4 linked regions of the Arabidopsis thaliana genome follow. The protein of the gene in region 4 interacts with the protein of the main gene of each other region in a pairwise test. Each region holds a gene or a part of one and is shown on either strand. Other genes may lie near its edges. The genes, in order: ETC2, AP1, AT1G02040 and TIP.

Region 1 (7,216 bases), on a different chromosome or scaffold from region 4:
CTTGATCACCTAGCTAACTTGACAAATTAGTTGTTCGTCTAAAACTACACAAACATTCAAAGTTCGTTTTAAATTCAATATATTTAAAAATAACAGTTAAAGTTTTATTAAATGGCATTCCAAATATTGATTCCTTCTAGAAAATTTGTGTGGTTTTAAATTGTGAAATTTGGATCTAGAAAAAATAGCAAGTGTGGTTTCTTGTGACCTATGGTTGTTAGTGTAGTTGTATACCATTTTTTAAAGTTACATTGTAATTTGTAAACCATTTTTGTGTGGTTGACAAAAAAAAAACCTATGACAAAATTGCTCCGTTTTTATTTTCAATAACAAATTATAATGTAAATTAATATGTATCATAGTGTTTTTAATAAAAATATTTAAAATTAGGATTGATTGTTCTGAAAAAAATAACGCAACTAATACTTTGTTAGCAAATACTAACGTTTACGTACCAAAAAAGCATTATGTAAATCCATTCATCCATCATTGTATACTTGACTTTCTACATTATTCTTTTGTTGTATCAAATTTAAAATTAATGAATGAACTTGACATAATAAAACACAAAATATATACTTAAATTGTACGATATAAAAGTTTGATTTACATATTTTATATCTATAAAAAAGGGTAAATAAATGAAATAAAACTTTTTTTTTTTTTTTTGTCAAAGAAATGAAATAAAACTCAAATTACATTTTTATGTCGTAATGCGAGCACACAAGTGAGTGCATATCCAGTATTAAGTTTTTTTTTTAATAATTCAGAATTGAAAGCAAAGGAAAAAGAAGAAATCGAAATCGGAAACTGTATATTGTTGTTCTTCGATTCCTCCTCGCTCTACGCCGCGTCCTCTCTCTCAAATTCATCGGAAGCAACCTTCTTCTCCCATCATCGCCTGGTTCGTTTCTAAACCCTACTTCTTCTATTTCACAGTATATCTTCCTTTAATTTTCAATCGAATCTAGCTTTGTGTCGATCTCAATGTAGATCGGAATCAAGTAAAAGAAATCGATGAATTCCAAAATGTTCCCGATCTATTGCAATGCACGAATCGTAGAATTATCACCTACATTAGTCTTGATCTAATCGCCCTATTTCAATTTCAAATTCGACATCGAAGTTTAAAGGAGATCGCAAAACCTAGTTATAGAATCGTTGCGTTTGAGTTGTTTCGCTGGTGATGTAGAAACCCTAATTTTGGTTGTCCTGTGTTTGGTACTTGCTCAGAATCCAATGGCAACGATAAGGAACTTGAAGATAAAAACATCAACATGTAAAAGGATTGTGAAAGAGCTTCACTCTTATGAGAAAGAAGTTGAGAGAGAAGCGGCTAAGACTGCTGATATGAAGGACAAAGGTGCTGATCCCTACGACCTTAAACAACAGGTACAGATTTCATTGTTTATCTCTCTGTATTCGAAGATTCGGAGCCCGTCTTTGTTCGTCAGAATCTAGAAATGCTGTGTTGTGCTGTGTTTAGACTTGGTTTTTCCTAATCTGTGTATGTGGTGATGCAGGAAAATGTGTTGGGTGAGTCTAGGATGATGATTCCGGATTGCCACAAACGTCTCGAGTCTGCATTGGCTGACCTCAAGTCCACTTTGGTAAACTACATTTTCCATTGTTATTGCTTGCTAAGCGTCGGTCTAGCTTTATGTATTAGTTTATAAGAAACGCTGAGCGGTGATTTGAAGTTTAAGAGCAGTAGTACATTATCAAACTATAACTTTTATATGTATCTATAGCGATTGGATTAATCCCCTGCATGAAACCATCTTAGTCTCTCTTTGAGGAAAAATGATGAATAAGGACACAGAGGAAACTGTGAATTCGTACTCTGTCTTTTGTCTCTAATGAAAACTGAATTTGCAGGCGGAATTGGAAGAGACGGATGAGAAGGAAGGTCCAGAGATCGAAGATGCAAAGAAGACAGTCGCGGATGTGGAGAAGCAGTTTCCCACTGAAGATGCCTGATTTAGCCAGCGATGAGTGTTAAATCTGTATTCTGAGAATGGTTAATCATCTGTAAGAATCTTTATATCTAAGGTTGCTTGTCGACTGTATACACTAAAAATATCTTTCTTTAACATTTTGGTGATTGTTCTTTCATTCAATATCTTTGAAATGGCACACTTGCTATAATGTGTTGTAAGCTGCAACTTAACGATTGATAATTGATATAACTTTGACAACCATGATTGTAAACTAAGTGAAGATTAAGAGCACGGATTTAGAAAAGGTGATCTTATTCTAATTTGTTTTGCGAAGAGATTCAACAATTTCTGAACCATTTATATGATGAGAAGACATTCAAGATTTGTTCTACTTTTATGATTGAAAGCTTTTATTTTGATTTCTTTACAATTTTAGATTTTCTTGGAGATTAAGAGGAGAAGTAGAAAAAAAGGGAGAATTATTAAGACGTCGTCGTTTGTGAGAAAAATAGTCAGAGTTTCTCATAATCCAGTATCTCTCAATCTCATTTGCCTTTCTTCCTACGACTCTTCCTGCTATTAAATCCCACCTGACAATCAATATTCAAGCATATAATGTGTTTTTGAATTATAGACGAGCACAAAATTCTGAAAAAACATTTATCAAAATTCAGGAGTCAACATATATAATGCAGAAATGAAATTTAAAATGTATATATATAAAGACAATAATATTCAAGAGCCAATATATTATTCAATCCTTTCACTGTTTTTAAAATCATCACACTTTAAGAAAAGAAGAAATTTTAGTTTCTGTTAATTATACATTTTATCAGTTTATCAACAACATAAAACTTTTTTTGAAATTATACAAGTAAAATACTCATGTCATTGCTTAAATATTGGCATGTCATTTTTCTCGAAACACGTTCGAAAGTCTAAACTACTCTAGAATCATGTTTACCATAACATAACACTTTATCAGCTTTGATTTGTTACTCTCGCCATGTGAATTTTTTTTAAATTATAAAATACTAGTTTTTTTTTTTTTTTTTTTAATTTTATAAAATACTAGTTGTTTTTAAAATATGTTGAATCGGACATGACAGAAGAAGAGAATTTGTTACCTATTACCGACAAGTCTGTACATTCGAGAGATGAGATCTTCTTCTTGTTCGGTCATACTGATAAACTCCCATTCGATGCTACTCACTTCTGCATTTTTGTTTCGTTTTATCCAAACAAAAATTAAATGAGAAGATAATTTAACGCTGACGAGTTAGGAGGATGAGTGTAGAGTAATGAATTGAAGAGAGACCTTCAGAGTCATATCGGGATCGAGTGAACTTAGTTTGCCTAAGACTGGGACCGCGACGAAGACGAAGACGGTTGGTATTATCCATAACTACTGGAAAATAGAAGAATATTAGATAAATTTACAGAGAAACTGAAAATGTAGAGTTTGGAGAATGCAAGATATAGAAAAGATGTGAGGGAAAAAAATAGTTATATAAAAAGAGAGAGAGAGAGATAGGTGATTTATTTTTTATTGGAATTTCTACGTATATATTCCTAAATTTATAATTCACATTTTTGTTTTTATATATCCCGATCGAATACGTCAAAACATAATTTCGTGATACGTTCGATTTGTTTTTTACTATTCCAAAAAGTTCATAATGCTCACAATAAATTTTGATCAGATTTTGTTTCTGACCTATAACAGAACATTTTAACAGTCACTAAAATGGCGTGCTAGTTTTATTTTTTTGCCTAGTAACGTATTAAAATCGAGTGAAAAACATCACATGCAAATACACTTCTCAATAAATATTATGAACACGTAATCCTACAAGTTCTAATTTAAAATCACAGTTTTTCTTTTTATATTTTAGAAATTTTTACGGACGGAGATGGCTGTGGAATGTGGATGTACATAATCTATAATTTTATTTTACAGTTCTCCAATAACATTAGGTGAAATTTTTTCCCCGAAATTTTCGACTTCGTGAAAATTGGACAAAAAAAGTCCATAAACCGTTAATTTCGTGTTGTGATATAGATTTGTGGGTCGTAAATAATACTAGCAAAATCCAACAAAACTTTTGTTTTCTTGTGCTTTTTTCTCTTTAGATTTTTTTGTGTGTGTCTAATTTTACATATGCATGCCCTACAGATAATTCCTATTTATGCATCTACAGAACTCAATTATCGTCTCAGTGATAATAAATGCAGTAACTGTAAGAAACGGACGTATCAATTTCTTTTCCTGACAGATTGAAAGTTGTCTTAGAGAAATCGGTACTTATATAATGAGCATATCATTTTCTCAGCGTGAAATCAGAATGAACCATTTATGATTTTACCCACTATATATTAAAGAAGTAGGTTAGGAGAAAATTGATCCTACGTGGTACGTATTAGCTAAGACCAATTCAAAAATATGAAATTCCTCTAATTTATCATTATGTGATCATAATACTGGATATATATAAATTTATCGACAAGCATTCGTTAACAAAAGGAAAGTTATCGACAACATTCAGTATAACAAATTTTCAGTCATGGACTAGAACGACTTCATTGAAACATGCTTTCGGATTGCAGCTGTTGTCTGGTCACTTCGACTAAACTTGTAAAAGCTGTCGAGACAAAATCATACATTTGAAGTATCCCATATGGCTATGTACGTATATATACAAATTTTAAAACCAGATCAGTAATTAATGCATACGAGCTCAGGGCTGGTCCTGAGAGTATTGGGCACATACGAGCTTCTAAGACGGCTGATATGACGGACAAAGGAGTTCACCTGTAATGACCCGCTCTCATTATAAAGATTTTATGTCGTGATCATTATTAAGGTTTTGAAAGTTATTAATATATATACACAAATGATGGTTCTCATGTGAAGAATGGTTCTAAGTAAGAAAGGACAAGAAATTATATTTGCCTAAAAGTGTTTAAAGATCAGGAAGCTTGGTATACACTGGAATTATAGGATCTGATTGGACTAAAAAAGGAAACAGGGCTTAATGGCCCAATATGGTGAGCAAAATCTAAAACTCCTATATTATGAGTCCTGAGCTCTCACTATCTTGAGAATCAGATAAGTTTGAGGGTCAAGATGACTAAGAGATGGAGAGATGCCAAGCATTATATCTGAGGGCTCGATGGTTAAGATAGTGAAATGATGGATGGTTGAGATAGCTAAGTGGTTACGAACAATAGTGCATACGAACATGTGCATGAAATTGAATGTATATGATATGTGAATGTGAGCATGATTGTATGAACGATTTAGGTGTCTTAACTCTTAAGCATGAGATTATGTGATTTGATAGTATTGATTGAGAGTGGTTTGTTAATTATGGTGATAGCATGTGGGTGGAATTAACCTTAAGTAACTCATGCATTCTTTTAGGGATCCCCATACTTTTATGATGCACGTAAGGAGTTAGGAGTCTTATATTAGCTTATACAACTCCTTACTTGCATGTTAGTTAAAACATTTTCCATCGTCAGAACTCTTTCTTAACCGTAAATTAACTCTTAAACACAAATGAATTGCAAGTGGAATTATAATTTAAATGGCGGAGGAAAGGAAGGGCCAGAAGTTAATTAAAGACAAGAATAGAGGTAGCTCGAGAAGATGAATGATTATACCATCTGAGTGTAAGGTGTGTGTGAGTGGTCCTTCATCTTTGTCGGAATGGTAAACGCTAAATTTCACGATAATTTATGACACTAGGAATTTTATTAATCTTCTTTCTTTGCTATCTACTAACTTCAAAATATCCTCGTTTAATCATTATTTTTTCCTATCAATATTTTTGACGGAGTTACAAAATGTATAGTTGGAACAAGACGAGTGGCACAACTTGTAGAATTGACAATAACTTAGACAACCATTGATGAGAAGAATAAATATCGATCGAAGTTTTGTTCTACTCAACAACTTAAAGCTTTTATCTTGTCCATAATAACATAAAATTAAGGAGGAGAAATAGAGAAACGGTAAAATTTGTGGACTCGGCGTCGTTTGTGGGAACAATGATCACAGTTTCTCATAATCCAATATCTTTCTATGTCCTTTGCCTCTCGTCCTACCACTCTTCCTGCTATTAAATCCCACCTAGTATTATTCAGTTCATGGCCAAAATCTTTTTAATTAGCTATTTCATTATGAATGTTTGCATATGTTATAAAAAACATTATTTAAATTTGATAACTATATTTTCTATAGTGAATTGAATTAATTAATAGAGAGAAAAGTAAATCTTGGTTTTAAAATATGTTCTAATTATAAAATATATAAGAATTTTCAAAAAAGTAACATCAAGAGTATACATGATTAATACTCAAAATTCGTACCAACGTTTATGAGCTAGCCAAGCATATTTGGAAGTGATATATGCTAATATAAAAGAGTTATCCCACAGTTATCTCGAGCATTATCATATAAGTAAAATAATTATGTCGTAAGATTTTTTTTTTTTTTTTGAAAGTTGTTATATAGTATAATGCTGTTAAAGGGTTGAAAAAAGTACATGAGAGAATCTAAAGATAGCTAAGATACAAAAAAGACATGAGTTACTTCATGTAAGATTGTATATAGAGAAAAAAAGAAGATATAAAATTTAATATGGAACGACATATCTATACACAGAAGAAGAAGATGTTACCTATCACCAACAAGTCTGTGCATTCGAAAGATGAGATCTTCTTCTTGTTCCGTCATATTGATAAACTCCCATTTCACACTATTTACCTCTGCATTTTAGTTAGTTATATTTCAATCAAATATGAATATCAATGAAAATTGGAGGACGTAGCTAAGTTAAATGGATGATTATAATTTATAAACTAAATTAAAGAGAAACCTGCGGTATCCCCTAGAGTGAACTTGGATTGCTTACGACTGCGAAGGTGACGAAGACGGTTGGTGTTATCCATTGGTATTTGAAAGTGAAAGAGGACAAATAATATACAACTGATGATTTTGGAGTTGGAGAATGCAATGAAAAAAAAGTAGATGTGAGGTAGAGAAAACTATATAGAAAACTTGTGACGAAGAGTAAAGAGAGAGATATAGAAAAGGAGGTCCCAAGCTACCGTAATGAGGACTACTGGACCAGTAGACTTGCTCTTGATACAACTGGATAAAATATCTGAATATCCACCATATAATTGTAAATTGGAGTAATATTTATCAAATACTAAACACTAAAATTTATAACTATGGATACATGATTTGCTCTTAAATACACATATAT
Region 2 (10,133 bases), on a different chromosome or scaffold from region 4:
TTTTGGCACGTAACCCAGATACTTACTTCAGAAGTGTTAAATTTGATGGAGTTATTGGGTTGGGCATCAAATCTTCACGTGCGCAAGGATCTGTCACGGTTTGGGAAAACATGGTGAAACAAAAGTTGATAACTAAACCTATTTTCTCTTTATATTTGAGGCCACACAAGGGAGATGGAGGAGAAGATCCAAATGGTGGCCAGATCATGTTTGGTGGGTTTGACCCGAAGCAGTTCAAGGGAGAACATGTTTATGTACCGATGAAACTAAGCGACGACCGCTGGAAGATCAAAATGTCCAAAATTTACATTAATGGTAAACCAGCGATCAACTTTTGTGATGATGTAGAATGCACAGCAATGGTTGACTCTGGATCGACTGACATTTTTGGCCCGGATGTAAGAGAATTAAGTTTTAGTGAGCATATAGTTTAGTTTGTATCATAAGTTGGTAAAAAATATTTGGTTTTGTTTCATTCTGTTTAGGAAGCTGTCGGTAAAATCTATAAAGAAATTGGAGCAACCAAAGTAATAATTAGATGCGAGCAGTTTCCTGCTTTGCCGGATATCTACTTCGAAATTGGAGGAAAACATCTACGCCTCACTAAACATGATGTACGATCAGGTTTTTCTATCATTTGAGTTGTTTTTTAAAGCCTTTTTCTTGACCTTTTTTTCTTTTATGTTTTTTTTTTTTCAGTACGTTGAGGTGAAGACAAATCCCAAAAAAAGATGCAGACTTCGTATTGTGAAGTCTAAAAATCGTCGTAAAGACTGGTAATAGGCTCTAAAGTTGTTGTAATAAAATTTTCTCTAACCCATATGTTAAGAAAATAACCATTGGATTTAAATGTAGGGTCTTGGGTGAGGCTTTCATGACGAAGTTCCATACGGTGTTTGATTATGGAGATGTTAAAACCCCAAGAATCGGCTTTGCTGAAGCAATATAAGAAAATTAGTAAAAAGAGTACACTAAACAAGTTTTATCTAAATTTTATGACAATATATATGTGAACCAATATTGTTATTCTGTAAGCGTGACTTCTTAATAAAAAGGAATTATATATCTGTCATTTCTATCTATACTCAAAACGAATTAATTAATAACTCATATATCTGACTATCTCAAAAATCAAAATTATGCTTTGCTTTCCTATTCTCTTCATTATGCATTTAATTCTGCTCTGTTGACTTCTTCAACAATCCTCTATCCAAAGAAGGAAACTTCTTCAAGAACCAAAAAATATAAAGTTGTAGTAACTGAAACATGAAGACCAAACAATATAATTACCAAAATGTTTAATACAGAAATTGTTTTCTAAAAAAATTAGCAGGAATACAACGAAGAGAAGATAATGTGAGAGTTACGCTTACCACAACGTGCCTTTTCTTGAGTTTAGCAACATTTTACTGAATGTAGATGAAGAGAAGATAATGTGAGAGTTACGCTTACCACAACGTGCCTTTCTGGTGGTGATATATCTTAAGAACCTTAGTGGGCATTTTCACTGGTCCCTTTACTGTAAGTCTCGTGTCCTTAGCTCCATGAAACAAGTCAATACACACTAATTATTCGATCACTAATCAAACAAATGTATCAGAGAGACTACCAGGGTGTTACATTACAGATCCTCATCCATTCGGAGGCACTGTTATTATTGCCTATCTTATCTAATTAGAAGCAAATTCTGGGCCTTTATAGGCCAACATCCTTCCTTGATTCTAATTGGGTTCTATTCCGATTAATACGGCCCAACCACTCAAGTTCGCTTGTTGTAAACTTGAAATAATAAGAAATTTTGCCACTCCTAACTTAATGCAACAAAAAAAAAAAAAGGTCCGATCTATTAAGTTCACGTTCATTCTCTCTGACCTTCAAATATATTACAATTTTGCTCCATATTGAAGCAAATAAACTTATCAAATTACAAAAGAAGAAAGGAGCCTGCTAATTTATATATGATGATATAAGAACATCGAACATTTGCCAAAATATATTAATTGGATGAAAAGAGCCTAGCCACTATTTATATGTATGTGGCAAACTGTTTTTATTGTTGACGATTACAAATATATATATGGAAATGCTTCATGCGGCGAAGCAGCCAAGGTTGCAGTTGTAAACGGGTTCAAGAGTCAGTTCGAGATCATTCCTCCTCATTGCCATAGGATCATCTTCTTGATACAGACCACTGCATTCACAATCATACATAGGATATATATGAAAGTGCATATGTAATCATATGTTTCACCGTACAACAAAGGAAAATCAAATATCAGTCCATTGTGAAATGTCAAAGATATATTAATTTCATTTATCTAACAAACTAAAATTGTACTTAAACACATAGACCAACAACAACAAAAAGTCGACTTAGGCTTTTCGCAACCATTCCATGTACATTTTCCACACTAATAAGTTTGTTCGTTTGGCGACCATTGCATTAACCTACGTTAATAAAATAATGTTTTAAAATAAAGTTTTCTAGTTTCAAAATCATGACATCATGTAACCATCACTAACAGCTATAACTTCAATGAAATTACAACACCTAACGTAACTAGCTTGCATAACATATGTGCTTTAAATTAAGACTGATTAGTAATTTTTTGTTACCCCATGTTGAGAAAAGGAGATGGCTGATGAGAGAGCATGTAAGGATGCTGGATTTGGTGCTGCTGCGGTGGCAGAGGGGGAGGCATATTGTGGCCTTGGTTCTGCTGATCCCACTGCTCCTGTTGAGCCCTAAGAATTTTTTCCCTCTCCTTGATCTGCCAGCAAATTTATTTCAAACCATATTATCATCATCAATTTTCAAAGTGAAGAAACTATATATATGCAATGGTTACAAATAGTTATTTTCACAGTTGCACTCATGCAATGAACTATTATAACATTTTTATAATTAGGAGTAGTGTCTATATTCATATACATAGATATGAGCTAAGTAGAATGATGGGACAACATTTCAAAGTTTCAAATATTTTCAATCCGAGAGACAACCTTAAAACTAAACGGACAAACCATATCTACGTACAGGCTGGTGATTATATCAATCAATAGACAACATCTATGCTATTTCAAACAATTTGCAAAGATTTTCTATTTTTATTTAATGGTGCCGAAGTTAAGTGGAGATATGAAGATATCGTAGGTATAGCTTGGCTGGAAGTGTGGAGCAGAACAGTGGAAGGTAACAGTAATGCAATGGACAACATGTTGATGAAAGAGAAATGATGACATGTGTTACCTGTTTAGAAAGCATGCTGTTTTGCTCCTGTATGGCCTTCTCCTGTCATTTCCGAAACGGCACGATTGTTAATTAGCTTTCCTATACGTTTCTCTATAAGACATACATTTGATAGGGGTTTTACATACCTTTTTTTGGAGCTCATTGATGGACTCGTACATAAGTTGGTTCTGCATACACACACATCAACATTAACAACCCATTACTTTAAGTAATATGAGTCTTAAAATACACAACATAACTCATACATTCGAACCAACCTATAGACATATCAAATTGATATTGATTACTGATATATATATTGATACATACACATATGTATTTCAATGTTCACATTATAATAACACTTGTAAACGTTTAAGTTATATAGATATGTTCAACGAAATAGCAGAAGGCAATACTTTTCTAGTGCGGATGTGCTTAAGAGCAGTGTCAAGCTGCTGCTCCAGATTCTGAAGCTCTTTAGGGCTCATTGCTTGCAAGTCTTCCCCAAGATAATGCCTGAATTTCAATAGCATCAATGAATTTTAACTTACTTTAAAATGGAACCCGATCGATTTCCTAGATAGAAATGTGATGAGTGTAAATGTGTACCTCTGGTTTCTCTCCAAAAGCTCAATCTTAGCCTTAAGCCTGTTATACTCCATCGACCAGTTTGTCTGTGTACCAGAAGTTTTATACAAATAAAATTCATCAATACTACAAATAGATTGATATAATATATATGTGGATTAAAAGGAGAAATATTTATTGAAATACATTGACGTCGGACTCAGGTGCAATAAGCTGTCTTTCGGCGTAAGAGTACCTCTCATAGCGTTCAAGTATCTTCTCCATACTGATCATTTCACAGAATTAGGGTTAGCTTTATCATCAACCAATTATCATTTTATTATATAAATAATATGGAGATGTAACCAAAATATCATCACATTTTAGGATAAATCTAATGATGGTTTTATGCAATTAAACCAAGATTTCCTATAACAAATCAAGTACCGATCTCTATGATACCTTTATAATAACAAAACAGTATGAATCATAGACCCTATGCTCTTAGCTTCGAGTTCTAACTGCGGTTTCTTTAATTTTGCTACAATTAGGTACAGAAAATCTTCTTAGATGCGACACATTATAATAAATTATTATAATCTTGCCAATTTACCAATCTTATTTTTTTTCAGAACAAGGACAATGCTTAAAAAAAAAAAGAAAAAAAAAAAAAGAAGAACAGCTGTTGCTTGTTGGAGCTAAGTTTGACCATCGGTAAGAAGCCGATTTTAGGATGGAGTTAATTCTTTTTATGGATCCCCAGAGGTCAAAGACTCCCTACTCAGATTTGACATCTTTGTTTCAGTTTTAATTTCTAAAGTCAAATAGAAAAAGAAGCAACACTAGTTCAAATTTAATACTATATAGTGTTTTATATTACGAGTTCATAATCTTAAGATCCGAGTTTAAACATTTTCTTTGCTTAGATTTGCAAAACATGAAGACACAGTCGTGAGAACAAATTAGATATTCTTTTACAGCTGAAAAAAAACAACTCGTAAGTTAAATATTCTTTCTAATAAAAAATTCTCAATTTGACATTATTATCTATATCTATTTTAATTTATTTTCTCGTCCCATAATATTTTTTAATTATAATCCAGTTGCAACTTATATATGAAAAAAGAAACGACACTTCATTTAAAACTCGAACTCAGTGAGCGAGTGAAAACTACAGATCTTATTTTCTTACTATGGCATCAATTAGAGCTTAGATCTGCAAATTCGAAAGACATGGCTATTGGAGAACAAAAGAATTCATTATGAGTTAGGGATCAAAACCCTAGTTCAAAGATTAAACATACACCCTTCTATATGCTCTTGAGTTTGAAGATATGATGCTGATAAATATTGCACAATATATCAAGGTAATTACTATGGTATAATTAGTGTGTTCTAGGGTTCACTTCACTACGGCCCTAAAGTTTTGATTTTTAAATTATACAAATTTGTATTAAACATTTTTCTGGCTAATCAAAAAATCCAAAAATGGAAGCCCTAGAAAATATATAAACAAAAGCAGTAGTGAATAATTAGGGCAAATCAAGTAGTCAACTTAAGGGGGAAAAAACTATATAAAGTAGCAGATTAAAAGATTTTTTTAAAAGTAAAGAATTAGTTGAAGTTACCAAGAATCAGTGGAGTATTCGAAGAGTTTTCCCTTATGGGAGAAGACAACAAGAGCAACTTCAGCATCACAGAGAACAGAGATCTCATGAGCTTTCTTCAAAAGACCAGCTCTTCTTTTCGAGAATGTCACTTGTCTATTGATCTTGTTCTCTATCCTCTTCAATTGAACCCTACCCCTTCCCATTTTTGATCCTTTTTTAAGAAACTTCTTACTCTAAAAGAACCAAACAAAACAAAGACCCCCAATAAGAAACTACAAGAGAGATATAAAGAAGAGCTCAGACTTTGGTATGAACCAATTAGGAAAGTTTTTCTTTCTTTCCTTTATAAAAAGACTTGTGTTTGAGTCTCGGGATCTTTATTTATGGAGAGATTTGGGTAAGAGTGGTTTTAGGGAAAAGCTAAAGCTGGTTTCTCTTGTTTGCAAAAACCACAGTGGTTTCTTTAGGATTTGCGTGTCGACTTCTCATTGGTATATCTCGTACTAATGTCGGGTCCATGATTTTTTAATAAAACTGCGGACTTAAAAATATGAAAATAAACAATTTGATTATCGACGTCTCGTGAAGAGAAATGGGTAAGTAACATTGTACGGACCACTGGTCCTTCCCCAAGTGTCACCTTCGCTTTGCATTGACGGCGGAGATTTCCCTGTAGATCTACGAAACAAAATCTGAACCAACCAAAATATCTATTTTTAATTTCCTTTTATTAACATTTCTCTATTACCCTATTTTACACTATTCTTTTGGAATAAGGTGAGAACCCTTTGTTTTATCAAATTTGCTTATTATATTTAATGTTCTCAGCTGTAACAGTGAAGTACAAATAGACCTTTCTTTTGGCAATAGATGTTTTTGGTAGAGCTGAGAACCAATTGACAACTGTGTAATGTATTGCGTCGACGGATTTGTACGCAGGATTTAAGGAAAGAGAGGAAGATCGAGAAGAATAATTGTAAGTATTCAAAATTTCAAACCCAAAAATAGTATTTTGTCAAAGATTTGTTCAATGTTGTGTGTTCTTATTAAGTTGTAGATGATCAGGACAAAAATCAGTTGAATATGTGCTATGTTGTTAATCAAACATACATATATTTTTTTTCGTCAATCAAACATATTTAGTTTGTACGTTATATCCATATATATTGTTAAATAAAACAACCATATATATACAATTTGATGTCAATCATATAATGAAATAAACCACATAAAAACCTTTGCTCAATTTGCTTAATCACTTCTTTTACAATGAATTTCCGTTGTAATAGTTTTCTCTTTTGAGATCTTCAAGTGTGAAAAAACCCCTTATTTTCAGTCAATATCCAATAACAAAAAAAAAAAAAACAGATTCGGCATTTGCTTAAGGCATATATTGCATAAGCCTTAGAGAAAACAATATAATTAAGTGAAAGTTGGACCACGTTTCAAATTTCTTTGTTAGTCAAGTGTTCCTGTTTTAGTTGATTACTTTAAATATCTCAGGTTTGAGGACTAATTGATTTTTCTTGTTAAAAAATTTCTTTCTGTTTTTTCCATTTCTTCTCTTATTTGGTGTTTTCCACGTGTCTTCTTCCTTATTTGATTTACTTTGTAATTTATAAATATTTGGACATCTTTTAGCAACTATTGCTTACGGTATTATTGTTTCATCAAAACAACAATTATACTAATTTTAGAAAAATAAATTAGACCATGTAAAAAGAAAAAATTGTAATATAGTAAAATCTATTTAAGTTAAAGTTCATTTTTAGTTATATATTTCTTCTATGCCAAATGAACCTATGCTAAAAAGATGTCACTTGCATTTTAATCCAACTTTATGTATTTTCTTCATAGAAGTTATATTAAATCTGGTATGGTATGACATATATACTTGAAATGGTCGTGGTTATATAACCAAATTTAAACATGTACGTCCTGAGTTTTGAAACGATACATAAGTTAAAAGATAGTGTATAGAGAAATCAGTCTAAAGATAGTATACTATATATATGTATGATATGTATATGGAGATCATGAGCAAAAGTAGTAAGCAACAAAAGGAAAAGTAGAAACTTAACAAATTGAGCAAAACTAAAAGAATCTAAGCTCGTGGCCTTGAAGACAACATCCCAAGAATATCCATTATCTTCGCCTTTGTTACATCTCCACCCTTCTTTTCTTCCCATTAAATATCCCTTTTTACTCTCTTTCAGTTTATTATTCGATGTAGCATACATATTTTATATACAATATCTCGATCCACTAAGATACGGTTACATCTCCACCATTAGCTTCCAAATACTAAAATAATTAATTACTTCTAATTAGAAGGACGTAATCTCTATCTTCAGTAGTAAACCAAATGTTCGTCATCATACGAAGTGGATTTAGAACATATAGTCGTTTTTGAAGCAGATCCCAAGAATAGTCTTCGATCGGTCGAGGTGCCCAAGTAGAAAAAAAGAAGGCAGGAAGGTTTGTTTAATGAGTGATCTTTGTAGTCACGAGAGTTGTGACTTGTGAGGTTGCTTTGTATCACGGTGATGCAATTATTATTATTTTATGTTTTTAAATAAGTGAATTATAGGTAAGTTTTTTTAATTCGAATATTAACATATTGGTTTAATTAAAACTCAACATTCGAATGGCAAATAAATAAAAACTGAACATATGATCTACAAATTATCATAAATTAAGGAGAATAGTGAGTCTTTAGTGAATAATTAAATTTCCAAGCAGTTTTAAATAAATGAAATTAAAGAGAGAGGTTCTATAATTGATTTCTTCTAATTAATTAGAAGATCGGATTTTTTTTTTAATTTGACGTTAGAGCTTAGAAGACCAGATTAAAATATCAGTCTCTGTTATTTTGAAATATATAGCTAGATCGCTTGTTGTGAAACATTATGTACAGTTAATTCAATTATGTATACGGGAGAAATGAATGAAGAGCAAAATTGTCTTAGTTAGGTCTCTATCAAAGAGCAAGTTGGGTCCAATCCAGCCACATCAAATGTCCAATTAATGTACACATCATTAGCTTTTAGCCCCACCATTCTATATATATACGCAGCTACACACATGTACGTATATGTTTCTTTTAGAAATTTAGTCTCAATTTGTTTTAAAACATCATAAATTAAACTTTAGTAACCGTAACGATTATGTAAAACAAATCTTGGATGTTAAACATTATATTGCAAATTTGATAATAACTAATGAAATATCATATCAGTGTTTTATTTTTCTTATATAAACAACAATTTGTTGCATTTTTATAAATCTATCAAGATTTATGTAGTATGTTCAATCACATGAGAAATCACAAAAGAGAAGTACATATGATATGAATATGATGTATACGCAGCAGCTAGCATCTATTTTGACGCTATCTTCTAACCACCACGTTCGATATATATATCCTGCTTGTTGCACTTATCACCACAAAAGCTCTATATATCATTTTCAGATCTCTCTTTATCTGTACATAAACATATCTACATACACGTTACATGAAATTATTTCCTAAGAACTTGAAATGAAGCAAACGGTCTTATTAGGAAACAAAATAAGAAGAAGTTAATTTTTGAGACTTCTCAATGTTCTTTTACCAAAATATGTTAGTATTGTTGTTTCTTTTTTCTTTGTTTTGCCAAATATGTTATTGTTCATAACTTCAGATCCAAGGTCCGTGAGCTTTGTTTTGGAGTAAGTAGGCTTTGAATACTTTTGATCAAAATCCCAAATTGTATTTCAAGGCCCATTAAGCTTTGGTTCCAAGCTTTGTCTGTTAAATAAATCTTAGTTGTATCATTGGTTTCATCAAAGGCCTATTAGCTCAGTTGGTTAGAGCGTCGTGCTAATAACGCGAAGGTCACAGGTTCGATCCCTGTATAGGCCATTTTTGTTTTTGTCAGCATCGTTCCAACTTCCAACCATCAATATTTTGTTTCCATTCCACTTCCTCTCAGGTGGTCTCTTCACTAATCGATTTTTTTGTGTGAATTAATAACAAAAATGTGACATATGAGAAACCAACTTGAGGTGGACTAGTGGTTCTCGCTTAAATTGTAACAAATTTATGTAGGTCAAGATCAAAATAACCGACTCTTCTCAAATATTTTAAGAAAAAATAGTTTTTTTGTATTGCATTGGTTAACCTGCGATATTTTTAATTAAAAAAAACTATGATTTTCTGGGTTCTTAATTTTGATTCTAATTTAGGATTTATTTATTTTAAAAAGAAAGCAAATAAATAAAATAGAAAACATGTAGAAAAATCATGATATTTTTGCCCTTCATTATGAAAATATACAGATGGATGGATCTCTGTGTTTGGCACAATGGCAACAAAAACGAAGATCTATAATGAAAGAAAACAAAAAACAAAAACGAAGAGGCAAAAGCGCCAATCCGGTAACTGAATCAAAGCCACTCCTTCCATATCTTTGTTCATTTAAATAAACGCTTATCTTATCATCTTCAAAAGTATTTTTTTTGCCTCTAAACATTACTTGCCCTACAAAATAAAAGAGGACGTCGGTTATAAACGGACACTAAAAAGATTATGTCGTTTATTCAACCGACTTGCTAAGGGCCAACATAAGTTATATATATAGCCTGGAAATACCAAATATCTACCATGAAATATCTCAATAATAATTCTTATTCTATATCCGAAAATTATAAAATTTGAATTTCATAAAATATACTTCTTT
Region 3 (7,248 bases), on a different chromosome or scaffold from region 4:
AGGGTTTGTTCTCTTGGTCCGCCGGAAGGGGTGGAGGAGCGGCGGACGTGTGCCGCCATATTTCGCGGCAACTTTCTTCTGCAATGGTATCTTCTGTACCTAAACTCCATGCTTTGTTTGTCTCCAAGTCTCAACCAGTTCTCCGAGCCGCCAAAGTTACCAATGAAGAAAGGTCCACCAAATCAAAACTCGCCAGGTCCTTGGCCCGTGCCGTGAACTCTAACCCGTGGTCGGACGAACTCGAGTCTTCACTATCATCTCTTCATCCGTCCCAAACCATCTCCAGAACCACCGTTCTCCAAACCCTGCGTCTCATCAAGGTCCCTGCGGATGGTCTCCGGTTCTTTGACTGGGTTTCCAACAAGGGGTTTTCTCACAAAGAGCAGTCTTTCTTCCTCATGTTAGAGTTCCTCGGTCGAGCTCGCAATCTCAATGTGGCTCGCAATTTCTTGTTCTCCATCGAGAGAAGGTCTAATGGCTGCGTCAAGCTCCAGGATCGCTACTTCAACAGCTTGATTAGGAGCTACGGGAACGCTGGGCTCTTCCAGGAGTCAGTGAAGCTGTTCCAGACCATGAAGCAGATGGGCATCTCCCCTTCCGTTCTTACCTTCAACAGTCTTCTCTCCATTTTGCTCAAGCGTGGCAGAACTGGAATGGCCCATGACTTGTTCGACGAAATGCGTCGTACCTACGGGGTTACCCCAGACTCCTATACTTTCAATACATTGATAAATGGGTTTTGTAAGAACTCCATGGTCGATGAAGCCTTTAGGATTTTTAAGGATATGGAGCTGTATCATTGCAATCCTGACGTTGTTACATATAACACGATCATCGATGGGTTATGCAGAGCCGGCAAGGTCAAGATTGCACATAATGTTTTGAGTGGAATGTTGAAGAAAGCAACCGATGTGCATCCCAACGTTGTTAGTTACACTACTCTGGTGCGAGGCTATTGTATGAAGCAGGAAATTGATGAAGCAGTGCTTGTGTTTCATGACATGCTGAGTAGAGGGCTGAAACCCAATGCTGTTACTTACAATACTCTGATCAAGGGGCTCTCTGAGGCTCACAGATATGATGAGATCAAAGATATCTTGATTGGAGGGAACGACGCATTTACCACTTTCGCTCCAGATGCCTGCACTTTTAATATTTTGATCAAAGCCCACTGCGATGCTGGTCATTTGGATGCAGCGATGAAGGTGTTCCAAGAAATGCTGAATATGAAGTTGCATCCTGATTCAGCTTCTTATAGTGTTTTGATTCGTACTCTGTGCATGAGAAACGAATTTGATAGAGCTGAGACATTGTTCAATGAGTTATTTGAGAAGGAAGTATTGTTAGGTAAGGATGAATGCAAGCCTCTCGCTGCAGCTTATAACCCAATGTTTGAATACTTATGTGCCAATGGGAAAACAAAACAAGCGGAGAAAGTTTTCAGGCAGCTGATGAAAAGAGGAGTGCAAGATCCGCCCTCTTACAAGACTTTGATAACGGGTCACTGCAGAGAAGGTAAATTCAAGCCTGCTTATGAGCTGTTGGTTCTAATGCTCAGGCGGGAATTTGTACCTGATCTTGAAACTTACGAGTTATTGATTGATGGACTGTTGAAGATAGGTGAAGCTCTTCTTGCTCACGATACCCTACAAAGGATGCTAAGGAGCTCTTATCTTCCTGTTGCAACCACTTTCCATTCTGTACTTGCAGAACTTGCGAAAAGGAAATTTGCTAACGAGTCTTTCTGCTTGGTAACGCTAATGTTGGAAAAACGAATAAGACAGAACATTGATCTTTCAACGCAGGTTGTCAGATTGCTTTTTAGTAGTGCACAGAAAGAGAAGGCATTTCTGATTGTTAGGTTGCTTTATGATAACGGGTATTTGGTTAAGATGGAGGAATTACTTGGTTACCTCTGCGAGAATAGAAAACTACTTGATGCACATACACTTGTTCTGTTTTGTCTGGAAAAAAGTCAAATGGTAGATATCGACACATGCAACACGGTCATAGAAGGACTCTGTAAGCATAAGAGACACTCTGAAGCGTTTAGTTTGTACAATGAATTAGTAGAACTAGGAAACCACCAACAGCTTAGCTGCCACGTGGTTTTGAGGAATGCCTTAGAGGCTGCTGGAAAGTGGGAAGAACTTCAGTTTGTGTCAAAGAGGATGGCTACATTGAGAGAATCAGATGATTGCTCTGTATTAGAATGAAGGATAGACCGTGCATCTGGTTTCTGGTAAACAGGATCCTCTCTCTTTGTTCCGTTTTCAATTCTGTGTCTAAAATTATCCATTGGCAATTGTAAAATTTTTGGCCCTCAGCAATTAAGCAAGTTTGTATTCATCGTGTCTGTTACAGGTCTCTATGGACGTTGCAACTCTCTGTTCCTAACTTTCACCTTCATGGTACCTATTTCCTAAGTAGATTAGGCTTATATTACTTATCCCGGGAAAATAGGTTTCATGGTGTTTTTTGCATTTCTAACCAACACAGGCCAAAGAATCACCAAACCCTAATAAAATAACCGTTTCTCTCTTTACATGATCTTCACTCTTCAGCACCAAACTCTCCCCAAGAAAACCCTCAACCCTTCCTTTATAATCCTTTGCCATTTGCTGATATTCTGCATCCACCATCTTTCTTCCCAATATCTAATTGAGTTTTTTCCTTCTGCGCTTGAAAAGAAATGTCGAATTCTAGGATGAATGGTGTTGAGAAGCTAAGCAGCAAATCCACAAGGCGTGTCGCAAATGCCGGAAAGGCAACACTGCTTGCTCTTGGCAAAGCCTTCCCAAGCCAAGTCGTTCCTCAGGAGAATCTAGTGGAAGGATTTCTACGAGACACCAAATGTGATGACGCGTTTATCAAAGAAAAGCTGGAACACTTGTGTAAGCCTCAGTCTCTTTATATTTTTTTCAGACAGCTATGCTCTCTTGTGAAATGCTGAAAGCTTTCTAATGTTTTGTGCTGTTGTTTAGGCAAAACGACAACCGTGAAGACGCGATACACTGTGTTGACGCGAGAGATACTGGCTAAATACCCTGAGCTAACAACAGAGGGTTCACCAACAATCAAGCAAAGACTTGAAATTGCAAACGAGGCGGTTGTGGAAATGGCATTGGAAGCCAGTTTAGGTTGCATCAAGGAATGGGGAAGGCCAGTGGAAGACATCACTCACATTGTCTACGTTTCCTCAAGCGAGATCCGTTTACCCGGTGGTGACCTTTACCTCTCAGCAAAGCTAGGCCTGAGGAATGACGTGAACAGAGTGATGCTGTATTTTCTGGGATGCTACGGAGGTGTGACTGGCCTCCGTGTGGCCAAAGACATTGCTGAGAACAACCCCGGAAGCCGTGTTCTGCTCACAACCTCTGAAACCACCATTCTCGGATTTCGGCCACCAAACAAAGCGCGTCCGTACGACCTAGTTGGAGCTGCTCTGTTTGGAGATGGTGCAGCTGCTGTGATCATCGGAGCTGACCCGAGAGAGTGTGAAGCTCCTTTCATGGAGCTGCACTATGCGGTTCAGCAGTTCTTGCCGGGGACACAGAACGTGATCGAGGGGAGGTTGACTGAGGAAGGCATAAACTTCAAGCTTGGACGAGACCTCCCGCAGAAGATAGAGGAGAACATAGAAGAGTTCTGCAAGAAGCTGATGGGAAAGGCTGGCGATGAGTCGATGGAGTTCAATGACATGTTCTGGGCTGTTCATCCAGGAGGACCTGCGATTCTGAACCGTCTGGAGACAAAACTGAAGCTGGAGAAAGAGAAGCTGGAGAGCAGCAGAAGGGCGTTGGTGGATTACGGGAACGTGAGCAGCAACACGATACTGTATGTGATGGAGTATATGAGAGATGAGCTGAAGAAGAAAGGTGACGCAGCACAAGAGTGGGGACTTGGCTTAGCTTTCGGACCTGGAATCACCTTCGAAGGCCTTCTCATCCGCAGCCTCACCTCTTCCTAATTGTTATAATTTACATTTGGGTTATAAACATATTGTAAGCATGAAATGAGAGTATTATTTGTTAAACAACATCTATATAGAATAGATGCATGTGACTAGGAATGTTGGAAAAAGTCAAAAGTTGCACCACGTGTCGTTAAAGCAAGTGCTTAGCTACTTGGAACCACATGAACAAGAAGACACCAAACCCGTTACTTCCACTAAAAACAAGGGCTTTCTTCTTTTTAATTCACACCAAAACACTTTGAACACACACATGCATGGAGCCATGAACTCACCATGCATTGATTTCGTAATGTTCAGTCGTGGACAACACGATGAGGACAACATGTCACGTCGTCCTCCGTGGAAGAGGGAGAGATCGATGTCCACTCAGCATCATCATCTTAACTTGTCTCCAAACGAAGACGAAGAGCTTGCCAACTGTCTTGTCTTGTTGTCCAATTCAGGGGATGCGCATGGTGGTGATCAGCATAAACAACATGGACATGGTAAGGGCAAAACCGTCAAAAAGCAAAAAACCGCCCAGGTTTTCCAATGCAAAGCTTGCAAGAAGGTGTTCACGTCGCATCAGGCATTGGGTGGACACAGGGCAAGCCACAAGAAAGTGAAGGGTTGTTTTGCCTCTCAAGATAAAGAAGAGGAAGAGGAAGAGGAATACAAAGAAGACGACGACGACAACGACGAGGACGAAGATGAGGAGGAGGATGAGGAAGACAAATCAACGGCTCATATCGCAAGAAAGAGATCCAACGCTCACGAATGCACCATCTGCCATCGCGTCTTCTCTTCGGGACAGGCCTTAGGAGGCCACAAGCGATGCCATTGGCTAACACCTTCCAATTATCTTCGTATGACGTCGCTCCACGATCATCATCATTCCGTCGGCAGACCGCAGCCGTTAGATCAACCATCTCTCGATCTCAACTTAGCTTGCCAAGAATATTCCGTCGATCCAACGGCCATGAGCGTAGGGATGATCGAGAGAGATGGTGGTGGCAATAATCACAACGCTACTTCATCTTCGTGGTTAAAACTCGCAAGTGGTGATTGGTCTTGACGACTGACTAATTTAATTAAGTTGCTAATTATATTCTTTTAACTTTCATTCGTTTATATTCTTTACATATATACAATTAAGTGCATGAGTTTATATATAGAGTTTATGGATTTATATGAATTACACTTGGCGTCTTCTGCAGATTTAGAGAGCCATAAGGAGTTCTAGTCCAATATATACAAAGATATAAGTAAGAAATTAAGTTTCACAACTAGTTAATATACAAGATAGATAATTGTATCATTTTTTATTATTATATACGTTGAGAATAAAGTAAGATAACCAAGGGCTCCTTGCTCATATAAGCGCAAATGTTTTAATTTCATGTTTGTAATCTTACAGAGTGATATAATTTACTTGTTAAGCCATCAAGAAGGAGATATAATTTTGAAGTTTTCCAGAAAAGAAATTGTAAATTCGAAATTAAGAAATCACAAAGAAGAAAAATATCAAATAAATAAACGAATATCACGTATCAAATAACTCTCGTGATATGCCCATATATATTTTAATCATGTTAATAATCAAAAGGCTCTTACTACACTGAAAACACATGAACATGAGTCAACGCCTCAACGGAATTGATAATTTTGGTGGTTCTTAATTAAGCACCGATTGCAAGGAAAGGGTCATTTCTCTCAATACGATTACAAGAAAAGAGTCATTTTTATCTCGCATATATGTTATTAATGAGTGGTTGCCATTACAAGTTATGAACTTTTGACTTTAGGAAGCCCACCAACCATCAGCTGAAAACTAGGATTAGCGGGGGGAATTTGATTAATGTCAACTGATATCCTCCAATTTCTCTTTGAGAAAAGCTCAAGCAAAGTATATGACTCTTTGGGCCACTCAAAAGATCTTTAATCAATTAACTTGAGGACATGTACTTTAACAACAATTGACACATATAGACACGTACAAGAGTTGCACGCTATTGATACAAGGAAATTTTGGTCTAGTATGAGGTAATAACGTCTCAACGAGATAAGGTTAAAATTATTTAGACATGCTTGGGAAAATATTTTTGTTAGTAGAAATTTGTAGAGTAATGAAATTTAGATTCTTATATTGAAATTTCATCCAAATAAATGACAAGAGGTGAGTCAACACCAAAAGGGCGTGTGAGTATGAGAGTCAAAGATAGCACTAACTATACGATGCGGGAAGTCAGCAGTTTAGTCACACGTGTCAACCTATGATTTAAGGAGAGTTGGTGTATTTGTCACAGAATCATTAAAATTTGGTAAAGTTAGAAATAGAGGGGCCAGTGCTAGTGTTGTTTAGTCGTTACAACAAAACCTCAACGGTTTTTGTTTGCAACTTTACCAAAATGAATACCCTCATCCACAAACTCTTTTCTAATCAACAAAGTATTGAAATTTTCAGTTACATACTAGTATTTACTATTTACATACTAGTATTTTTGGGCTAGTAGAAGAGTGTATTTGAAAAATTAGAGGAGAAAAAAAGTCAGCGTGGAGGAATAAAGGTGTGAGATCGCATGTTACATGTTTGATCAACGGCTCTTCACTTCATCATTCAATACTCTTTTTTTTTTCTTTTTTTTTGGCTCAATCTGTCAATAAAATAAGAAAAACATAACTGATAATTATATATATTTAGAGGCTTATTTGTATTTATGTTTACACAACAGACAGGTCTTTTATTTAGCCGTTTCTGATATTAAAAAAGAAAGTAAACTGCTTTCGTTGATATTCTTAAGTATCCCATTAATTCTTTTCCTTAAAAAGAAAACATTAACTTGTTGTTGGGACTTCGTATATTAGCTTAAGTGTTGGTGGAAGAGTGCTTGTAACCTACTCCGACTTCTTCTTCTTCTTCTTCTTATATTCTCCCTCTCTCTCTCTCTCCTTTTTCTTCTATTTCTGCTCTGTTTTGGTAAATTGAGGAAATGGAAGAGAGGCATAAGTGCAAGTTATGTTGGAAGAGCTTCGCTAATGGAAGGGCTTTGGGAGGTCACATGAGGTCTCACATGCTCATTCACCCTCTCCCCAGTCAGCCCGAGTCATATTCGTCTTCCATGGCTGATCCAGGGTTTGTTCTTCAGGACAGAGAGAGTGAAACCGAGTCGTCCAAGAAGCCCTCCCGCAAACGATCCAGACTTAACCGGAGATCCATCTCATCATTACGTCATCAACAATCCAACGAAGAAGGGAAAAGTGAAACCGCAAGAGCAGCAGATATCAAGATCGGG
Region 4 (8,588 bases):
TTTCGGTTACTTGTATTCTCGATACTAAGAACAATCTAATCAGTAGAAAACTCACTAAACAATGTGTTCTATATTTTCATAAAAATAGAAAAATAGTATTCACATTTCTTCAAAAGCAATTTTTGGGGATAGATGCAACATGGGGTGCCCAATAAAATGAAAACTATTAAAAATATATTTGGGTAGATTAAAGTGTTTGTAAAAACCCCTTGGCATGGTGGAAAAAGTAGAAATCACGTGGGATGCTTTAGATTAAATTTGGACAAATGAGAGAATAATTTCATTTTGTTTGGCAGTCAAGACTTAAGACAACTCTTGTAGACCAGTAGATGTTTGTTACTCGATTATGCGACTAATGTTAGTTTACGTGATTATGTGAAGTTAATGAATAAATTAGGGGCGTTTTATAGACAACACGTATATCATATATTTCTGGTTGATATCACCATCAATGTGTGTTCTTATCCGTCGTGCCCTATTTGATATATCGCAACTCAGACATTATGACATATTACAACTATCATATAAAGTATAAAACAAATAAGCTCGATAGTTGGAAGAACTATTTAGAAATTAAAGTGAACCTTTAGAGGCATTTACGGTTCGCCACTAAGACAAAATTAGCTATAAGAAAATGATAGATGAAAGTGTTCAGAGAATTCACTCAGATTCTTAATGTACGTAGTTGACCGGTTTATAATCCATGTTTGGTAACTTTCTAGTTAACTATATCTTTTTTACTTTTATAATTTTGTTTTGTTTTTGGAATTATAATCCTTTTTATAGTCTTTGTGAAGTAATCTAATTTTATTTTAAAAACTTATAACAGAAAAAGAGGTAAAAAGGTCGGGTCCATGTTTACATGTGCCCAAACACCTGGAGCTGACTCAGCTTACACAATATGCTGAATGTATACATTTTTGTGCGTATCTATGAGTCCATCTTTTATCCAAATATGATTTAACAAAAAAGTACATTTATTTCCATATTTCTTGGTGAGTTTGGCAATAATTTTTAATAAGTCTTAAAGAGTTACAAAATTTTAAATTTAGTATATCCACTGTATTGCTTATAAGAATGAAAGTATTCGTAAATAACAAAAATCTCATTTTTACTATGTAATTGTTTGGAGTGGATTAGGTAATGAAATTGAAGAATTTTTCAGGCAAATGATTTTTTTTTTGTTACAGAGGTAAATGATATTTTTAGTGTTTGTTATAAAAATATTAAAACGGTACAATAGAAATGTATTTTTTTCATAATAACCTGCAACGAAATTTTTTTTAATGTAAAATGTTGAATATCCGTTTCGAACGAATAAAAGTAACATATAAAACAATTTTTCATACACAACAGCTGAAAAATGAATCACTTGTATTTTACCTTGTGTCCATCTCTAAATTAGTTTATACTTTCTATATTATGCTACAAACTAAAATTGGTCTCCATCGTTTGGTAAAACTGATGATATTATCACTTTACTTGTAGTAAAAAATTCCTCTAAAACTGCGAATTTGGACTTAACTTTTTGGTATACCTGCTATAAAATGAACTTTAAGTAATAATAATTGACATGTAATTTGTATCCGATCGTTTTCACAGTTTGAGTCTCAATGTATAATTTACTTTTGACGCGCACTATCTTTATGGGTTTCAACTATTGTTTTATCCAAATGGACCTGAAAAAATCTCAATGTTGAGACTTGAGTGGTTTGTATAACTCAAAACTCAGCAGATGTTATCGCAGATCAAAAATCAAGACAATAAATAACCTCTGGTTTTTTATAGGTTAATTTTACGTACTAATGGTTTTTGCATTTGTTAAATAAAATTGATTTATGGAAGATTTTTCAGATCGTTCTGGAATTAACATGAAGTTCCTTTTATACCAACCGGCAATATGCGACTTTAATCTGATTCAAAAGTATATCCAAAAAGTCAAAAATACAAAAAGCCATATTGACTAAACCATATAAAAAAATAACTCTATGCCACAACCGAATTAGTTTCTCTGCTAAAATAAGTTTATAGACTCTCTTTTCTTGTCATCCGTTTTTAATAAAACTTAAAAGAAATTTATAGACTTTTGTTTTATGTAATGTGCCATGTTAATGATCAAGCATCGAGTCATTCATATCCACTATTGTATATTTACGCTTTAAAAGTGTGCATCACCTTCTTTGGTCATTATAAATTTATAATCGAAATATTAAATTGATTAAAGAACATGATACGTGAATTCTAAAAATAGTTGAGATAAAGTTAGTTGGTGTTCGGTGCATCGCATGTGGAGACATGAGTCCAACTGCAATGGCGTTAAGATTCGAATGCACATATTTTATGCATTTACGATGTTTTTATATATTGGAAAGAATTGTATTTTCTTTTCTTACTCACACATAATTTTGAGTTTTATTCAAAGTATGATACAACATTGATATATACTACTTATATCAGCTAACACATTTAAAAAGTCTAATAATTGTTTTGGTACTTACGTATTTTGGGTTTTATTCCAAAGCAACACGACAGTAATATTGATACAAACTGCTTCCTATGTCTTATTGTAAGTGTTGTTTAATTTTTTTTACAGATATCAAGAAAACAACTAAATTTTGAAATTTTATTCTTGGTCCATACAATTAAGTAGTAAGGATACAATTATTCTTGTAGAAGCCGGATTTGCCAGAAGAGGACCGGCCATCTTTGCTAACAAAGCCAAAAAGATGTCGGGCAAAAGCCCAAAACTTGGGACGGCAGTTTACCAGAATAATCCGGTCGGCAGAATTCAACAGTTCCTCTCTCTAAAAGATATGAAGGAGAGAAAAGAGAGGTGATCATATTATTTGAACTATTCAAATATGCATTCTTTTGTCCAAAAATTTTGTAATATATTACTGGGCATACTTAATGCCATAAAATACCCAAATGACATGTTTAACAGTCCATACCCTCAATCAAACCGTCCTATCATACTAAACATGTTTAATGATATACGAAATAAACACACCTCTAATAAATATCTCTACCCGGTCGGTTCGTACTAACATGTTTGACACCGTTTTCATTACGGTGCTACCATTCGAACTCGTAGTTTGTTTCTGATTGTACAAGGCTACTAAAAATGTCAAAAACGCAATCTCAAGACACATGTGGTCAGGAATAAAAAAATTTCCAAACATTACCATCTGAATATTATGAGTCGTCGTACATGTTAACTACAAGTCTACTACACTCCTAAACCGACCATGGTTAAGCTTAAGCCGACAAAAACAACAACAATAACAACAGATGCAGAACCAGGCCAAAACCCCTGTTATACACACAAATCCGCGCTCTCTCCACCCGTAAAAACCACTTTCTTTATTCTTACTATATGAATTGATCGGAACAAACATCACATTCAGCGGATTTATGCGACTAGACTGCAGACCGACATCACACACACAACCGCTACCACACCGACTCTGAAAAGCCCTCTGTATGAACATCCCATGGCTGCAATTTTCTTGAATATGAAACTAGTCCTGCTCTTTGATCTTGTGAAATTTCCACATCCTTTCGTCATAGTTTCCGTTGTTGTGTCCTTAACCTATATACATTTTATCGCATAAATATAAGGATCATAAATTGTAATACATGAGAAGGTATGAAAACAAACTTCTTCTCACCTCTTTCTTGATAAATTGAAGTTGTGTACTGTCAGTTTCTGACTTGTGGCTGTTAAGGTTAACCTGAAGACGCAGCCTTCTTGAGGCATCGCCCTGCATTACAAACTGCTCAGCACAACCCGGGGCTTGTGCTCGTCGAGCTCTAATCTTAATTCCTCTCTTAGATTCATCATTGATCTTGTTGCATGAGCTAAGATTCTGTGGCTCATATGGGATCTGTTCTGGCTCATAGGGAATGTCAAGAAAAGAATCCAAGAACTTGGACATATATTCATCCGCATCATTTGTACCGTACTGAGTCTGAATGTAATCCTCATTGTGGTTTTTGAACAATTCACTAGACTCAGATTGTAAGCCATTGAAAGAGGAACCGAGCTCAGATTGCACCTGAGAGTGCAACGGAGAGAACAGCTTCGGGGAATCAAACTCCATAAACGAGAGCCAATCGATATCGTCAAGCTGTTGAGTAAAATGAAGTTTGTAAGTTTACAAAGCGGTTGTACCGCCTCCTGTAATGAAAAGAATGTATTTTGTTCATCCTTACCCCGGTGGTTGTAACCTCAGGGACAGAGTATCCACTACGACATTCGCTGGGGATTACAAGAGAAGACTCTGCGACGTCACAAGGATTAGTCTCTTCTGTTTTAGGGAAAACAGGAGATACCTCAGACATTTCAACCTCGTCCACAACAGTTGGAGACGATACCGCTGGTTCAACTTCACATGACTTTGACTCTTCTGGTTCAGCAGCTCCGTTCACAATATCTTGCTTCTTAAACAACTTACAAACAACAAACGGATTCTGCAACCAAAAACAATCAAACAAACACAATCAGAAACACAAAAGACCTACACACACAAGTTAATGCCATCATTTGCCAAGTTGGTTTTTACCTGGCCAGACTTTGTTCCATCAAGATCCTTCTCAGTAGCACGATACTCATGCATAATCCAACAAGTTCGTGTCCCTTTAGGAGCACGACCTGTATAAAACACTAGAGTCCTCTTAACACCTATAATCTTAGTCTTTCCTGATTTGATCTTACGGTCTTTTCCCGTCGCCTTCCAGTATCCAGCCACAGTAGCTCTATTCATTCGACTTCCACTCGGATATTTCCGGTCCAAAGGACAAAAGAAGAGCCACTCTGAGTCTGTTGTCTTCACCACAGAAAAATCTACACCACAAATACTAAAGTATAAATCTTTACTCAAATTCACTAAGTCCACTACCTAAGCTAAGAAGTTATTGATCATATTGTTCCAAATTCAAACATGCATAAACCGGAATTGAAGCCTGGGAATTGCTAAACCGAGACTAAAGAGCTAAAGATGAATCAACGAATTGATTTGATGAAGAAAGGAATTACCAGGCAAATCCCAAGGCTCCCATTTGCAGATATCGATCTCACGAATTACTCTAACGTCGTTATCGTGACCGTTGATCTTGAGCCGGAGATAGTACCGGACTAACTCTTCGTCCGTTGGACTAAATCTGAACCCAACCGGTAGTGAAGCGAGCGATAGTACTTCCATGTCTTCTTTCATAGTTGCGTGAGACTTTGAGAATTCGAGAGGAAAAGAAAAAATCACAAATTCGACTTCAAGGTGATATCTAAAATGAATTTGGATCAAAGATGCGATTCAAAGGTATATAGAAGAAAACTAAGAAAAAACCAGATTCCAGAATTTGATGAAGTACGAAAAGAAAAAACCCTAAAATTTGACACGATTTGGTAAAGTGGAGAAGAAGGAGATGTGACACGATTTGGTCAGACAAGAGAGATATCAAAGACAAAGAGATGAAAAAGTGGCGCGTGGATAGGCGTACCACTGTTTCCCAGAAAGTCATAAAACACAAAACCACGTTCGTTACGCGTAAAAGGCAAAACAGAATGTAAATACCTATTTTACCCCTGAAGTATTGCAGTAAAATAGTTACGGAAATAGGGGTTATATGAGTCAAAAGGTGAGGATGTCTGAACGAGAGATGTCACCTAGCGAATCATATATTGACACGTTGATGCTATAAAGGAAGCTTCGTGATAGTTGTACGGAAGTTAAAGAAGAATTAAATAAACTTAATTGGTATCATATTGATTTACCAATATGAAACAGTTTACACAACTGGCCAGCCCATCTTACTAATAGTGTTTGTTGTTAAAGCCCAATAGATGAGAACCCAATTCAACCATTTTTTTTTCTTGGTCGTGTGAAGTCTGAATCAATTTATTTAAACCAAATAATGTAAATCAAATAGGTTTAAACTTTAAAACGTTTGATATCGAAGTCCGTTGGTACTCAAAACTAAACCTCAAAAACAGAGAAGAAAGTAGCGAGCGAAAAGGAAGATCTTATTTATCTAAACTTAACGTTCGGCCGTTTACAAGATATGTTTACAGCCAAGCCTCGTTTTAAGAGATACAACAAGAATAAAACTACACAAGTCAATTGTCGAGCTTATGTCTTTGAATCCGAATGAGAATGTTCTTGTACTATTCTCGTCCGACTTCAGGTGTCCTTTTCTGGCATTCCTCTGTCAATATTTATAGTACTTCAATGAAAGTACACAGTACCATTTTCTGAGCGATATGAAACTTCTATGGCGGCTGATCCTTTCCAGAAAATGGGCCTCATCTCGCAATGGGCTGCGGCTTTCTCAGGGGGGCTGGTCTTCATCATTCTTAACTGAGGTTTTCAATGACTCTTTGTTTGGGCCTCCGAATGTTAAATGGGGCGAAGCCCATATCCAACAAAGTTTATCTAAGTCATTGCTTTTTGTTTTGTTTTTGGGTTTAGACCTCTGCGTTTCTAGTTTGAGGATAGTCTCTTATAGTGTTTGATTAGTTGGAATGTAATCTTTTACAACCATAATTGTTTTTGTGAAGACCAAATTGTTGTGAATTAGTTTTAGAAAAAAAAAAAATCTTGTGACCGTAAATCTTATATTTCTACAACCTAAAACCATATGTTGTTATAAGTTCTATAAGTTATATTTTTAATTTAATCTCTCTTTTATTTTAATTTTATTTCCTCATGATCATTTTTTATGTGTTGCTTATATAATGTACACTAGGCACTAGATGGATATATACTAATAGTATAAATACCATGTATAGTTTTGTTTGTTAATGTATACTTATGTATAAATTTTGAACAACATTTGAACAAAAAATTTATATGTATATATTCTTTTCAACTAATATGTAGTTATTATCCGACTAACATATAAACTATTTTACATGTTTATATAGATTCCATTTAACCTATATGTGCATCACAAAATTTGTGTTGTTGTTTATTATATAGTTTGGTTAACTATAATATTTTATAAAATATTTACTAATCATATTTTAAGATACGACTAATAAATTTACTTCTAAGACTTTATATCCCTAATATCTACACGTATAACAATAAAATACACGGTTGCATTTTACACGCTGACGGTCAAAATTTTACAGCGAATAATTTACGGTGACATGCCAACCAATCACTTAGTTACTAAAGACGTTTACTTTCTATCTCAAAGTTCAGTTTCTGGAAATATTTTATTTTCCGTTGTTTAAAATCATAAATGTATGTAGCTTTTAAAATAGTTTTTGGCTTTCGAATTTTAGTTTGTAATTTTTTTTTTTGGTGTAAATGTTAGTTGTTTGAAAAATTTGAATGGTAATTAGATGTGGATTTTAGTTTAGTTTTAATTTATTTGAAAAACAAAGAAAAAATATTAAAACTTGAATATGTGGAAATCTCTCTTTTTATTTTTATTTTATTTAGAAAATTATGTATTTCCTCATGATCCTACTTAGTGGCTATGTTCTATCTGATCAAAATTTAAGAAGTCACCAAAACTACAAGTTGTTAAATTACTAAATATCTCATGATGATCCGACCCTACCCAATTGCTCTTTTCATTTTATTATTTTGTTACACTACCAATATTAAACATATCGAATCAAGATTGTGCGAAACACAAATTGTCCCACGGTATATCGTGGGTTAAATCCTATATCAACGTTAGTTAAAAAAATATAGAAAACCACCCACTATATATATAGTGTTTTAAAAAAAGATTAAAAATAAAAGCTCCAAAAATAAATACATATTTAGTTTTACTATTATGGATTCTTAACATTTGTCCTAACTACAAAAGGGTTAAAGAGATCTCAAACAATTAATGTGGTTGACAGAAAAAATAAGAAAAATGTTACCTCCGAATACCATATATTATAAACGGGGAAAGAAAAAGCTATAGAAGTAGAATTTATGAACATTTTTGATCCAAGTCCATATTTGTAATTTGTTCTAAATTCTTCGTAACTTTTAAAGTAAAGGGTTGAAAATAAACATGGAATATATATGATCCATATATACCATATGCATATGCAAAATTACCAAAAAAATATATATATCTTTGACATCAGTAAAATTGACAATTTTACGGTTAAATGACAACAAATTTCTTCACTTGGTTACAGAGTGACACTTTGACACGGTTCAACTACCATTGAACCTGAATCAATACAACTTACAAGATTTGTATGTTCCATTGAACAAAACTCTCTTCAATATATCTGAACCCCTAACCATTATCAAATTAAAAAAAAACTACTAAACATTCTGAGCTAAGCTTCTAATCTCGGGCTCCTCCGCGTCTGCGGCTCCAACGCTACATTTCATCGAGTCAAACGTTAAATCAAGGAAGTACAACGAACAAACAAGAACGCAACAAGTTATGAACATTGGGATGGGACCAAAGATCCATAGGAATAAAGGCGAGGAGAAGTAGAACGCTCGTAGTCCTAACGACCAGAAGTAACTCCCACGGTTAACCGTTGCAGCCACATAATCTTGGTTTATCATAAGACTACCATTACCACGACCACCTGAAGAAACAGCCATGAGCTGTTTAAAGGG

What was found.
Region 1: the proteins of TIP (region 4) and ETC2 interact in a two-hybrid assay, tested with the Arabidopsis thaliana proteins (one large-scale study listed by BioGRID).
Region 2: the proteins of TIP (region 4) and AP1 interact in a two-hybrid assay, tested with the Arabidopsis thaliana proteins (one large-scale study listed by BioGRID).
Region 3: the proteins of TIP (region 4) and AT1G02040 interact in a two-hybrid assay, tested with the Arabidopsis thaliana proteins (one large-scale study listed by BioGRID).

The regions. Positions count from the first base shown.
Region 1 is NC_003071.7:12,958,573-12,965,788, forward strand, and holds ETC2 (Homeodomain-like superfamily protein), read right to left. Parts: upstream 3,591-7,216; 5' UTR 3,344-3,590; coding exon 3,259-3,343; intron 3,156-3,258; coding exon 3,068-3,155; intron 2,531-3,067; coding exon 2,365-2,530; 3' UTR 2,275-2,364; downstream 1-2,274. Other genes in the region: KIS (tubulin folding cofactor A (KIESEL)), read left to right, coding at 1,240-1,392, 1,524-1,610, 1,879-1,980; TCL2 (Homeodomain-like superfamily protein), read right to left, coding at 5,934-6,075, 6,626-6,713, 6,824-6,896. UniProt on the Arabidopsis thaliana protein: MYB-type transcription factor involved in epidermal cell fate specification. Acts as a negative regulator of trichome development, by mediating lateral inhibition.
Region 2 is NC_003070.9:25,980,488-25,990,620, forward strand, and holds AP1 (K-box region and MADS-box transcription factor family protein), read right to left. Parts: upstream 5,863-10,133; 5' UTR 5,616-5,862; coding exon 5,431-5,615; intron 4,451-5,430; exon of another isoform or gene 4,265-4,450; intron 4,089-4,264; coding exon 4,010-4,088; intron 3,910-4,009; coding exon 3,845-3,909; intron 3,752-3,844; coding exon 3,652-3,751; intron 3,421-3,651; coding exon 3,379-3,420; intron 3,293-3,378; coding exon 3,251-3,292; intron 2,772-3,250; coding exon 2,617-2,771; intron 2,449-2,616; coding exon of another isoform or gene 2,412-2,448; exon of another isoform or gene 2,192-2,411; coding exon 2,089-2,191; 3' UTR 1,807-2,088; downstream 1-1,806. Other genes in the region: AT1G69100 (Eukaryotic aspartyl protease family protein), read left to right, coding at 1-398, 486-614, 700-776, 856-949. UniProt on the Arabidopsis thaliana protein: Transcription factor that promotes early floral meristem identity in synergy with LEAFY. Is required subsequently for the transition of an inflorescence meristem into a floral meristem. Is indispensable for normal development of sepals and petals in flowers.
Region 3 is NC_003070.9:355,886-363,133, reverse strand, and holds AT1G02040 (C2H2-type zinc finger family protein), read left to right. Parts: upstream 1-4,055; coding exon 4,056-5,030; 3' UTR 5,031-5,228; downstream 5,229-7,248. Other genes in the region: AT1G02060 (Tetratricopeptide repeat (TPR)-like superfamily protein), read left to right, coding at 84-2,216; LAP6 (Chalcone and stilbene synthase family protein), read left to right, coding at 2,693-2,894, 2,985-3,970; AT1G02030 (C2H2-like zinc finger protein), read left to right, coding at 6,946-7,248.
Region 4 is NC_003076.8:8,413,508-8,422,095, forward strand, and holds TIP (TCV-interacting protein), read right to left. Parts: upstream 5,570-8,588; 5' UTR 5,217-5,569; coding exon 5,039-5,216; intron 4,847-5,038; coding exon 4,566-4,846; intron 4,474-4,565; coding exon 4,216-4,473; intron 4,131-4,215; coding exon 3,672-4,130; intron 3,593-3,671; coding exon 3,413-3,592; 3' UTR 2,868-3,412; downstream 1-2,867. Other genes in the region: AT5G24600 (TRP-like ion channel protein (Protein of unknown function, DUF599)), read right to left, coding at 8,283-8,588.